Linked DNA regions of Danio rerio. The protein of the gene in region 3 purifies or fractionates together with the protein of the main gene of each other region. This does not show direct contact. Links are inferred from orthologs where the notes say so. Each region holds a gene or a part of one and is shown on either strand. Other genes may lie near its edges. The genes, in order: atxn2, ddx6 and mcrip2.

What was found.
Region 1: the proteins of mcrip2 (region 3) and atxn2 purify together in Homo sapiens (co-immunoprecipitation; 3 studies listed by BioGRID and IntAct, with this or other methods). This does not show direct contact. The link is inferred for Danio rerio from reciprocal best matches to the Homo sapiens genes MCRIP2 and ATXN2.
Region 2: the proteins of mcrip2 (region 3) and ddx6 purify together in Homo sapiens (co-immunoprecipitation; 5 studies listed by BioGRID and IntAct, with this or other methods). This does not show direct contact. The link is inferred for Danio rerio from reciprocal best matches to the Homo sapiens genes MCRIP2 and DDX6.

What each region holds. Positions count from the first base shown.
Region 1 is NC_133180.1:42,591,683-42,595,834, forward strand, and holds the start of atxn2 (ataxin-2), read right to left. Parts: upstream 2,884-4,152; 5' UTR 2,496-2,883; coding exon 2,377-2,495; intron 500-2,376; coding exon 466-499; intron 1-465. UniProt on the Homo sapiens protein: Involved in EGFR trafficking, acting as negative regulator of endocytic EGFR internalization at the plasma membrane.
Region 2 is NC_133193.1:46,839,409-46,843,771, reverse strand, and holds the start of ddx6 (probable ATP-dependent RNA helicase DDX6), read left to right. Parts: upstream 1-1,500; 5' UTR 1,501-1,541; intron 1,542-1,836; exon of another isoform or gene 1,837-1,924; intron 1,925-4,363.
Region 3 is NC_133197.1:27,546,589-27,550,826, forward strand, and holds the start of mcrip2 (MAPK regulated corepressor interacting protein 2), read right to left. Parts: upstream 2,910-4,238; 5' UTR 2,349-2,909; coding exon 2,294-2,348; intron 2,160-2,293; coding exon 2,090-2,159; intron 935-2,089; coding exon 801-934; intron 1-800.

The DNA.
Region 1 (4,152 bases), on a different chromosome or scaffold from region 3:
CCAAAAAACTAGTACACCCACATATATCTGTTATAGAAAAATATTAAACAAAAATTTAAAATGAGGAAAAAACAAGAAGCAAAAATTTAAAAATTAAGTTGAAAATTTGTAGGTTGTAATTTTTTTGCTTGATTAAATTCAAGTAAAATATCGGGAAAAAAATACAACCTACAAATTTATTAATTGTATTATTTCTAAATACTCTATACTTCTAAATATGTCTGGTGACTAAAATATAACTTTAATAAATACATCTGTTTAATAAACCTGTTTTGTTTAAATGCACCAAACTACATTGCCTATATTTACTGAGAAATGGATAAAAATATTTATTTTCGAAACGGGGTGTACTCAATTAAGCTGAGCACTGTATATATGATTCAACAGGGAATATAAATTTGTATGCGAATCAATTTAATAAATTTACACTATGAATAAATGAAAAAAAGAAAAGCCGAAACTCACTGCAGTAGAGGGTCCTTTGGCATTGTTGCGTCCTCTGTTGGGAGGAGAGAAAACAGCATGACTGAGAAGTTTTATAACAGTTGAACTATAACCATATGCATACACAGAAAATCTTTGACATGCTGTACACACGGTTTAAAGAGCAAAAAAAGTCACACACTCCTACGAACACAAATTCAAGTGATTCCAGTAGGGTTATCGATTGCACATGTACTGGCAAACACTCAAAGCTGTAATGACAAAGGAGTGACAAATAATCATATGCTTCATGCAATTCATTGTGCAAAGAAGCACTTATGTAGTTCCCAAACAACAGACTCTAAAAAGAAAATCTGCATTTTACTGACAGTACGTGACTCATATCCACTAACAGCCATATACCTCAAACATATGACAGATTCTGAATTGTAAAGCTTTCAATGTGTTGGACAAAATTTCAACAAGATCTCTAATGTGCAGCAAAATAAGTTCAGTGCTCAAAGATTAGGCAAAAACTATCAGCATCTAGTACATTAAAATACATTAGTAAGATAAAAGCTGTGAATGACAATTATTTTTCAACAGCCAGGCTGCAAATCAAGTGCTGCATTACAGGCAGTGAAAGGCTCCACTGCACCACTCAAGATTCCCACAATCTTGTACAAGTCATATCACTCTTGTTGTTTTGCGTAAACAATAATCACATTTTCCCCATGCAGTGTGCAACTATGTGATGCCAATTCTCAGCTGTTAGATTAAAAGTTTCCACTGTTAATTTCTTCATTCATGACAGCTCAACACAAACCACGACAATAACATTCGTCTGTCACACCTCTACACAACATACTTACTCAAACGTCATTATGCAAGGACAGACTTATGCATGCAACCTCTTGTAAACGTCAAGGTTGAGAGTGCAGCTCTCTGACTTTCCACTCTACTAAGCGCTTGTCCTCGTGAGCGCGCGCGCCGCCCCTCATCGGAAATGCACGCGACTGACAGATAGTTCCAACATGAAGGATCAATCGAAAAGTAACGGGAAACACGCAGATTCGACCTAGTGGCCCTCAGCTAACGGAATTCAAGAAATCTAAATCGGACGCTGAGTTAATGTCATTGTCAATAGTCAAACAGAGAGCTAACATGTGACATCTCATAATGGATGATGAATTCCCAAAACATCGATTCAGGGGCACCTCAGAAGAGGTTACAAATCAGCTGACGGGAAGATAAAAGCATAAAACTAGGTAACGTTATCTGTAGCAAACAACCCTTTTTTGTTTGGACTGACACAAATCAGAAGCAATTGGTAAAACGTTGTAGAAAAACTATGATCTCTCGATTACATAATGACCAAAAACCTGAATGATGTTAATCTACAAAACATACTTTAAATCCTGTTAAATTAGACAGATTTCTGACAGTATGAGCAGATAAATGTTTGCTACAGTAGTTAGCAGGCTAACACTTGCTTCTATACCCACTGTAACGTTATGACTCTCAGATTATTTCTTTGTAAGTGACTAAAATGTCAAACACGTTCAATCCTATAACAGATTCCGACACGATACAAAAGCATCTGTCCTGGGAAAAGCTGGCACAGCCATATCCCACCGGCAAAGACGCACAATTCATCCTGAACGTGACCAGCACCCACAGCAGACAACCCGCCCCTCTCGAAATATACACGAACATGTTGTCCGCTATCAGCTGTTATTTTATAACCGCAGTAGTTTGCGTCCATTAACCTGTGAATCCCTGTCCTGTGAACTTGGCCTATATCGGCCTACTTGCGCTCTATCCTGATCACTGCAACTCCACAACCTGCGTTTTTAAACTACGACACTAGTGCAGGCATGCCGCATTCCCGTGTTGGTTCACGCTCGTCGGTCCATCCGAATTAAAAGCCTGTTATGCAGATTGGTCACCCACCTGCCCATGTTCTGGCGTCCGACGCCTCCTCCTGCTCCCCCGGTACCGGAGGCCGCAGCGGCTCCGCTGTTGCTTCCGCCGGGTTTGCGATTACCACCGGCCTGCGGCTTCATGGACATGATGATCCCATAAACGACAGCTTGAGCAGAGTTGTCTGACTGTTTGGAAAAAAAACGTTTGATGCCGCGGACGAGAGCGGAAAATGCTATTTGACGTGTTAGCTGACAGTTGATCTAGTGACAGCCAACGTGTAAAACTGCTCCTCCAGTTACTCGAGTCTCCACTGACGCTGCCTGCTACTTCAGCTAGCTCTGCTGATTAATTCCTCCTAAACAGAGACAATTCAGCCCGTTTTAAAAGCAAAGCGCGGACGACCCATATGTTTTAGATGTCTACAAAAATACCAACCCGGTAATTTCGCTATTTTGTTATTTTTAGTGCGGTATTTTCAGTGATATACACAGTTCACGCGGGGCTTCAGCACTGACCGATAGACCTAAACAGTCTGAAAAGCCACAAAAAGTGGCGGAAGGATATATACACATCCCAGGAATGTGTGTACTCCTATTGATGGTTTTATTGGTTCCAGAAGAAATGATCGTCAATAGTTATTGTAAATATTCTAAGAACGTAATACACTATTCAGATAATATTAGAAATGGATGAATGTTAGATTTGAGGAATGATGCGCATATGTCGAGCGCACTATTTTCAGAAGATGCACTGATCACTTTGTGCGTGTGTGCTTTGGCGCTAGACCAGGTGACTGGTGGTGAAATATATACAGTTAAATTCTTCAAGCTCTATTTGGCCTAGTTGTTCTGATTAGTTTTATTTCTTCGAGTTTAATATTTAAAACAGTAATCTAATTAATATACACTATTTTACTCTCTGCTTTGAGATTTTAAGCAATTATTAAATAAAGCGTTATCCTCATGTAACCCTTGATCTAAATATGGTCAACTAAACAATGTTTTTCCATTGACTCATTTTCCTCTTTGTGTATGTTTTAGTTTTTTTTTTTTTTGTGATTTAAAATATGTAATTAACTTGAAATTACATGAATAGTTCATCCAAAAATAAAAATTTACTCAAAATTCACTCGCCCTCATTTGGTTTCAAACCTTCAGGAAAAGAAGATATTTTGAAGAAAGCTAAAAATCTGTAACGATTAACTTCAATAGTGGAAAAAGAAAATAGAAGTCAATGGTTTTAACCTGAATGCACAAATACTCATAAACTTGTCATATGTGGACCTAAATAATTTAGATAAGAAAAAAAAAGGAAAAATGCCTATAAATCTTACACAATAAAGTTGATAATGTAAAAATGTAGATTCTTTGTACAGGTCTGTAGCCAGGGTGCTTCGGGTGGTTCGAAAGAAAACTGTAAATAACGTACAGTTTAAATGCACATGGTAAAATAGTATAGTGAACATTTCTGACAAAATTAAAGGAAATATTTTTGTTCCATCAAAGATTGTGGTTTTGATGACCATCCGAAAAGCTAATCCAACAAAGATTAGTGCTTGAAAATGTCACTTAAAATGCCATATTTGAACCTTATAATTTATTAGAAATTAAATAACTGTAAAAAGGTCCACAGAACCACCATTTCAATAGTCTGCTTAAGGGCCTGTTGTTCTGTGAATTGGTTTAACGAAATACTTTTATTTAACAAAAGTACATTAATGCTGTTTTTTTTCAACTCATTAAAGACAACTAAATATGTTTCGGTTTCCTTAAAAAATATCAAGCAGCACAGTCAGCATTGGCG
Region 2 (4,363 bases), on a different chromosome or scaffold from region 3:
TATTTGCATAGACCGAGTTTATATGTATATGCGATTATGTATAGGTGTGTTTGCATGCTGCGAGTTTATATGTATGTGCATATAAATGTGGATATTTATGCGAGAATCGAGTTTATCTGTATATGCGAGTGTGTATAGGTGTGTTTGCATGCAGCAAGTTTATATGTATGTGCATGTGTTAATGTGAGTGTTTATGTGAGGATCGAGTTTATATGTATGTGCGTGTGTATGTGGGTGTATTCATGTGTCAAGTTTATATGTATATACACAAGTTTCATTCATGTTGTTTTGAACATCCAGTAGTATGGGTGTATATGCGAGTAATTTATAGGTGTATATACACGTGTTTTATGTATGTGTTGATAAGCAAAGTTTGATTTAAATCCTACACGGCACCTCATAAATAACCCTGAGCAAATACCTTACAACTCCATGTTACGTTACCCTGCATTACTTTGTGCCTCGCGCTCCCTATAAATGATCATTTTGTCCTATTTCTCACACATCTGTAAACACAATATCGACAAACTGATAGTAACAATTGAAAGGTGTTTGATAAAGGATGTCTCTCATCATAGACAATCATGATAGCCTTATTTAATACACTTTCTTTGTATATACTATTAATGCCCTTTTGTTTTATACCCAAGAACTTACTGGCTGTTGTTACCACCTTTCCCAGTGACCTCTTCTGGGCCTCAGAAGCATTTCCATACCAATAGATCACACAAAATGTTGCAATAATTTCAATAAAAACACTAGAAAATATGATCAACGATGTGTTGTCAACAATAAAAGACAATCGTTTCTTTAAGAAGTACATTCTCTGTTGCCTTTTCCTTATAGACTCAGTCCACTTACGTTTCCTGTCCAACAACACATCTAAATATATTTGGATGTAACTGCATTTAGGTGAATTGTATAAACTTAATTGGCTGCAGTGTATGAGTGTGTATGGATGTTTCCCAGTACTGGGTTGAAGCTGGGCATCTGCTGTAAAAAAAAAAAAAAAAACATATGCTGGATAAGTTGGCGGTTCATTCCGCTGTGGCAACCTCTCATGAATAAATGGACTAAGCTGAGAGAAAATTGATGAATTATTAGGTTTAATGTATATTATGTCAAACTTAAGGACACGTTCGTCATCGTGCTCAAAATTTATGTTTTTTCGCAACGAAAAATAAATAAATAACAGACATACTAATGCACAAAAATGTTACGTTACGTTAAAAAACTACTTTCTAGCCACATAAGTCAGTCTAATTAGTCATTAAACTACTCAAGGCAATTCATTAACTACCTCCAAACACCTCAGGCGTGCCTATCAACAGATTCCTACTTTGTGCACTTCAAGCCTCTTCAACAATAATAAAATAAGCATTATTATTAAAGATAAAATATGTTTTTAAATACCCAAATAAAAAAACAGTATGTCTAAACCACATGGATCCTTACACCAATTAGTCAAGTATAAACACGTTGAGCTAATTAAATGACACCCTTCACATGCCGTGCTTCAGCCAAGACTACAACAAGCTCAGGTAGGAATTAAACTGCGCTGCTATGTAATTAGGACGTTTTTAAAGCAAAATGTGTAATTGTGACGACCTCAACCGCTTACAAATAAATAAAACATAAATAAAACGAAATTCTAAGAGCTTAATTAACGTATTCTTAATATATATATATTTAACAACGCATTTGAAATGACGGCAGCATTAAATTGCGTTTTCTAAACAATCGTCATATGCGTTGCGTTTGTGTGGATTAGACAGGGCTCTGTCTCATGTGACTGATTATGGGAGGGTTTAAAGATGACTGGAAGCCATCTTACACACTCGCTTTACACCCCGAAATATGTCACAACTCTACACCTATAATTCACAAACACAAACACACTGAAAGATATTCTCTGCCACGTTTGGTAAGTTTGCAGAACGTCAAATCTACGTGTTGTGTTCTGGGGATTAAGTCGGTTTTGTGGGTTTCTTTGTGTCTTGGTGTTTACAAATTTGTGATGTCTTTTTGGCTCGCAGTGTTTGTGTTAGCTGATTTAGTTAAGAGTTAAATATGTTCTTGCTTCTGTTTTAGCGTTTATGAAACGAGCGTTTAGTTCTTTATACTGGTGATTGTGAATCTGAGGTTACGCGTGCGGCCTGTGTGCAAGCCAAAAGCTAACGAGCTTGAGCACTGCTAATATTTCCTTCCTAACAGCTTATATATTTAGATTTGCTTATAATAAAAGCCACATTCCATCGTATTATGATAACCGTGTTTGCTAAAGATTTAAAATGTATCCGACTATTAAAATCTGTCTGGCTTGAAGCCGTCAGCGGTAGCTGCGTAGCTAAACATTAGCATTAACGTTTGTTGCGTGACGCCGAGTTTCACGTTATGTGGAATCAATACGGTTAACCTTTAAGATGTACATTTTAGCTTAATAACTACAACGTGACACTGGTTATATCGTATAACATAACATTGTTTTTTAGTATTCGTGGAATGAGTTCAATGAACTATACGCTTTCGCTTAACTTAAGGTAACCAAACATTTGTTATGTCTAATTTTAAGCTCCACAGCTGTGTAGTCAACGTGCAACTTCACCTGTTTTTATAGATGCATAACAACACTGAAGTCACATTTATTAAAGTTTGTCATTTTTAAATGCTTTAGGTAAACGCGAGGCTGTTTTACAATGAGGCCTATCGTGTTGACATTGTGCCAGCTGCTGCTGCCATCATTATTGAACTCACATTAGACATTTAATAACGTTTATGGTCTGTTCATAGATCTGAAAATGAATTAAAGTTGTAATTGGTTACAAATTCAAGAGACTTTTTTATCTTGACACTTCTACCAGAGCTTGTCCCTGTAATTTCTGCATGAGTGTGTGTTAACTCTTTTGATGCTGTAATATTGCAGGTAATTGTAGAAGTATAAGTGTTAGTGCTAGTTTGTGGTAAAGATGCACAGAGCAATTAGCACACTTTTTGTTAAAAGAAAATTAAAATGATGGAACCTTTTATCAAACCCAACCTTAACCCTGATCTCATCTTGCATCACAAAGTTTCACATTAGACCTCATACGATGTCTTGCTTGGTCGACATTAGGCATGGGCTGGTATAAGATTCTGATGGTATGATAACCTCGGATAAAAATATCTCTGTTTTACGATATTGTGATTACTCCTTTTAAAATATATTCTAATTAAATGTCTGGGTAAAAAAACTAACTTTTTTTTTCTCCCCTTTCAACACAATTTATTTTATTTAGAGAAACATTTGATATATTTTGTAATGGTAAACATGTTAGGCTAAATAATTCAAATGAATCATTGGCTGCGTCCGAAACCGTATACTTCCATACTATATGGTATGCTAAAATCAGTATGCGAGTCGAGTAGTATGTCCAAATTCATAGAGTTCGAAAATCAGTTTGCGAGAAGTACCCGGATGACTTGCTACTTCCGGTGAGATTCCGGAGTGCGCATCCTATGCACGCTGCGCTGTCCCATAATGCCACGTGAGAGAATTCATAAATGGAAGTTAAGCAACGCAACTGATGCAGGTAGGTCACGTGACCATGACAAAATGGTGGATATAGTACGTCCGAATTCTGTCCATACTTTTCACATTCATACTGTATAGAACGTACGTTTGTAACTGCCGAGTAGTACATTTAAATTCAAAAGCAGTACCTACTGAGTAGTAGGCGGTTCGGACACAGCCTTTGACTAATGCTGTCTTCATTTGTTTAAAAAAACACAGATTTCCTTACAATTTAAAACAGCATCTTTGGATTTTTTTTTTGATTCCTTTCTGCTGGAAATACTGTTGTCCTAAAAAACCAACAACAACAAAAAACAAAACTTGGACATACCTTAGGAATGGTATAGTAGGAAACTTTTGCGGTTTTAAAACCTTGGCTTTTCCAAACCGTGGTATACCTTAAACTTATCGTCCCATGCCTCGTCGACATTGCTTGATCTAAGCACTCAATGACTAAGTTTACATTAGTAATTAAATTATTTGCCTTAATCTGAATAAGACAGTAATATGATTAAGGTGTTCGCATAAGTTGCAATTTGTATGTTCTTTTCATGATCCTGTTTTACATGTTGTAGCACAATTCAATTAACTTCATAGAATCGCCACGCTATTCACATTTCCTCTGGGATATCATGTAATTTCCGGTGTTTTAAATTTGTCGACTTTAACTGCAGTTTGGCACTTTCACTCAGGAACATTTCATGCATGCCTCCCCTGACAAATGAAATATTGGATGAGTATTTAATGCTGTAAGAGGGTCGTTTTATTGGAATTTGATAACGCACGCAGTATTGGAAACATAAACTCCACATT
Region 3 (4,238 bases):
TAAGCAGGACTGAGGTTGATTAACAGATTTATGCAAAAAATAAACATTAATCTGATGCATTTTTAGCTTAATTCAGTGGATGTTTTCATTCTCAACATAATTAAAGGGTATTCAATTTGCCCAGAGTGTATCATTGAGTTTTTAAAAATGTCAAAGCATTTCCCAAAGTACATCAAAATAAGATTTTCACAAAAGTCAGAAAAAGTTATGGCCAATTTAAGACTCAAAAATCACCCCAGAGTGGATGAAAACATCCCCAACAATGTATAAGGGTTAATAAAAAGTTTAGAACTTGAAAAACATGCTTTTCTTTTAGGACAAAATTGACTAAAGTGCTTTAACACTCCCTAAACCGGTTGTGAGATTTCACCGCATTATGCAACACCTTTCTACAGCATGTAAAGCAGTTTTAGAAAACATTAAGCCTCAGTTGACTAGCCTGCCGTTGTACAAAAGAGCCTAAAAGCTGCCCTTGAGGTGGCGTTGCATCAGCCTGCGGAGGAGGGGTCTGGCCTGTAGACAAACACCTCCTTTGCAAGACAACAATTGTCCTTCTTCTCACAAATCTGATGAACCGGCCTCCCGAAGCACGTTAATGATACTCTGAACCCAAGTGATCCACAACTGCAGTTTAGTTTAGTTTAGTTTGCATGACCTCAAGACTCGCCAGTTTGTGACACTTTTGAGTTGTGGAGCCTTGAATACTTGGAGTTCACTGAGGTCACGGCAGCTGCTAACCAGCCTCAAGGTCTTAATGGTAACTAGGACATTAACAACGGCATTCAGGAAAATGAACTCACCCTCATAAACAAACCGGACATTTTCCTCGTGAGCTGGTGTGAATCCTTCAGTTGTGTTGTCGGCTTTTGGAGAGGTGGATCTGTGGTACCGCTTTCCGTTCAGACGATGAAACACAATCTTGGGCGCTGGTGAACTGCACAGTGGGAAATTAGAAGATATATAATAATATTACCTGGTTGTAAAGTTATACATAGTGGTATAGGTGGTAAACCATCAATCCTTTAATTTTTATGATCTGGCCCATGTCAATTTCTTCATTATTATTTGGAATTATAGTTACTAATTATTTGGACATCCATTGACTTTAACATAAAGTGTGTTCTTTAAAGTATACAAATATTAACAGGTCTGAAAAAGACTTAAAATTATAGATTTAGCTACATTCTGTTATTTAACCTTATTTTAAACATTTGAGTTTCTTTTGTTAAAAGTAAAAATATATTTTGAAGAATGATTAAAGGCTGTAACAATTGATTTCCATTGCATTGGTTTCTCGACTATATAAGCGAATGGTTATAAGTTTTTAGCTTTCTATAAAATATCTACTTTTGTGTTTAACAGAAGAAAGAAACTCAAAAAAGGTTTGGGATCACTTCAGAGTGAGTAAATTTCCATTTTGGGGTGAACTATCCCTTTCAGTGAAAAGCCTGTCACAATATTTTGGTGAACTGTCCCTTTAAGACCAAATACTTCCTTACACAACCTCGTTTCTATAGTGACGCGTTATAAAACCCATTTACTAACTATATTAACATAACCACCATCGTCATCATCATCATCAATGGGTCGCTATTCAAATATCAAACTCAATTGACAGGACGCATACGCGAACGCATGACCGTCGTAAAAATCGCCTTAGAAAGCAGCACATGGTGCTGCACAACGTCCTTGTGGGAATATAAGGGGTGTGACAAGCATGTGCTCGCAATATAATAACGCCAAAAGATCAATTATTAATCCCTATCTACAGAAATGAGTACCGACAGAAATCGCGACACAATCTTCAAACAAGCCGACACTCCACGCGCTCTCGTTCACGCGCACGCGCTACTGTTGCAAGGTCACACGGCGCTGCAAAAACATGCGACTCTGGCAAAGGGGTAAAAACAGCACGTCCTGATTTATGAATGAGGCCACCTTGTTGTCTGTGGATACTTTTAAATGTCCACTGCGTATAAACGAAACAAGGACGATGGGGCAGTTAAATCATGTTTAAGTTTCCCCTTAGTGACCAAACTCACGTGAGGAGATCAATCAGGTACTAGATGTGTTACATTATATCACTCACTCCGATACAAGCCAGTGGCTCTGCTTCTGTTTCAGGTCGTTTCCTTTGCTCTCAATCTGTTGTGTAGGGCCTGAAATAGAGAAAGTATGTGTTAATACATCAGCCAAGGTCTATAAGTGGGTCGTTTTTTTTTAAATATACACCATAAAAGCATTAGAAATCAGCGATATTGCGTCGTCTGCATGCTGTTCCTGTTCACCTTACCTGTTCTGCGTTGTGTAACAAGTTTGCTGGGACCTCTGGTTATTGTGTACATCATGTGAGAGACGGTTTCTGGAGAACCCCTGCGGTACGATAGATCCACGCGAGGTCTACGGATCGGTCAGTGCTTAAGTCACAATTAAATGCACGCCAGAAAACGTCACGCGATCCCCCTTCAGGACGGAGCTCTTTTGACGCAGCCACCGTGGAAATAAGCAGTGTCGATCCCGTCTGCAAATCTGCCGGTCAGACGCTTGCAGGGAGCATATGCGAGTGGACTTAAGCGCCCTTGTGTTTACTTACAGCAGACGTAAGGTCAGTCAAGGTTAAGAGCGTTTATTACCCTAATTACGCGCCAGGCTAATTCGCAGAGCGTCCGGTGTGTTTGTATGCGCGAGAGGCGTCTATCTTGGGAAACTTTCTGAGTTCTGGTTCAGGCTGGACACTACTGTAAATTCGGACGGTCAGATCGCAACCTTCTTCCGTGACGTCACGGCACGCCCCCGCGACGTATAACTCGGGTCACCTTTCACCTACTCACCTTGTGGACACCATCAAACGGGCTGTGTGTGCAATCTAAACACGGTTTCATCATGCCGCTAAACATGCAACTGATAAACTTGTGTAATAAACGAGATAAACGGCAGGCTGCGTGTATTTGCGCTGATAGGAGGCGCTTGAATGCACCACGTGGGAAGCATGCTGTTGTGTAAAATCCAAACATCATTCTTTAATGCGTTCAAACATGTAACCGATTCAAGTGTACAGTAGAAACATCGCGCAATCAAGTAAATGGATTGCGTAAATATGCGCAGCTGCGATGCGCCTGACGCACCACGTGGGAACTGGTCAGACTTGGTACACATTAATACTGCTGAACTTTGCTGTGTGTGTGTGTGTGTGTGTGTGTTATAAACCGAATGGTTAAACCTACTAATCTGCCATGAAGGTACTGAAGTCGCACATTTATTTAATTATTAGTTAATATAACACGAAAAAAGTGAGGAGAGGTAATTGTTACACAACTGTTATAGACAGCACAACAGTCCTTGAAAAGCAAATATAGAGACAAAATGTCTCTTGGTTAGAAATGTATTTGTTTATTTTTATAATAATTGCCCAAAAAAACTGATAAACGTGGATTTTAAGTAATCCTAAATTAGTATTTCTGTGTCCAACATAAGGTTGGCGTTTGGTAGCTGCCTTAGAAGACCAAGTTTATTGCTTATATAATAAATATTTTGATTCCCTTATGGTATATATAATTACAGACTTGTTGTTTTAAAGAGCACATATTTTACCCCTTTTTCATGATTTAACATACGTCTTTTGTCTTCAGAATGTGTCTGTGGGATTTCAGCTCAAAAGGCCCATCAGATTATTTATTATAGCTTTCAGAATATTGGGCTTTTCTGCTTGTAGCTGTTTTTGTGGCCTGTGTCTTTAAAGGGCCATGAAACCCCCTCGTTTCAGCAGGGTGTTTTCACACCTCTACTTTGGAAAAAGTCAGAAAAGTGGGCGTGTCCAGCTCTGTTTAGGGGGGAGTGTCGGAGGAAGAAAAGTGGGATGGTGTGGAAGTGTCTATTTGAGCACGCGTGAGTTTCAGAGTCAAAATACACACACACACACACACACACAGTAAAAAGTGATGGTGTTTAACCTACGTGGACATCTGTAGTCAAATTTTTTGCCAAATTATTAAATGGTGGACTTTAACTGCAGTTTGGCTTTCATTCAGGGAATTCATTCATGCCCCTCGCGACAAACGAGATATTTGATTCGAGGAACTGCTCTAAGTGTGTATTTTTCATGCAATGTTTGATACCGCACGGCGAATGAGAGAAAAAAAACCTCCGCATTTCCCGGAATCTTAGATGCACACGGCAGGTAGCGTCAGAATGCCGCGTGTGTTATTCCGGTCACTAAATGCGGTGAAAATCCTACACGA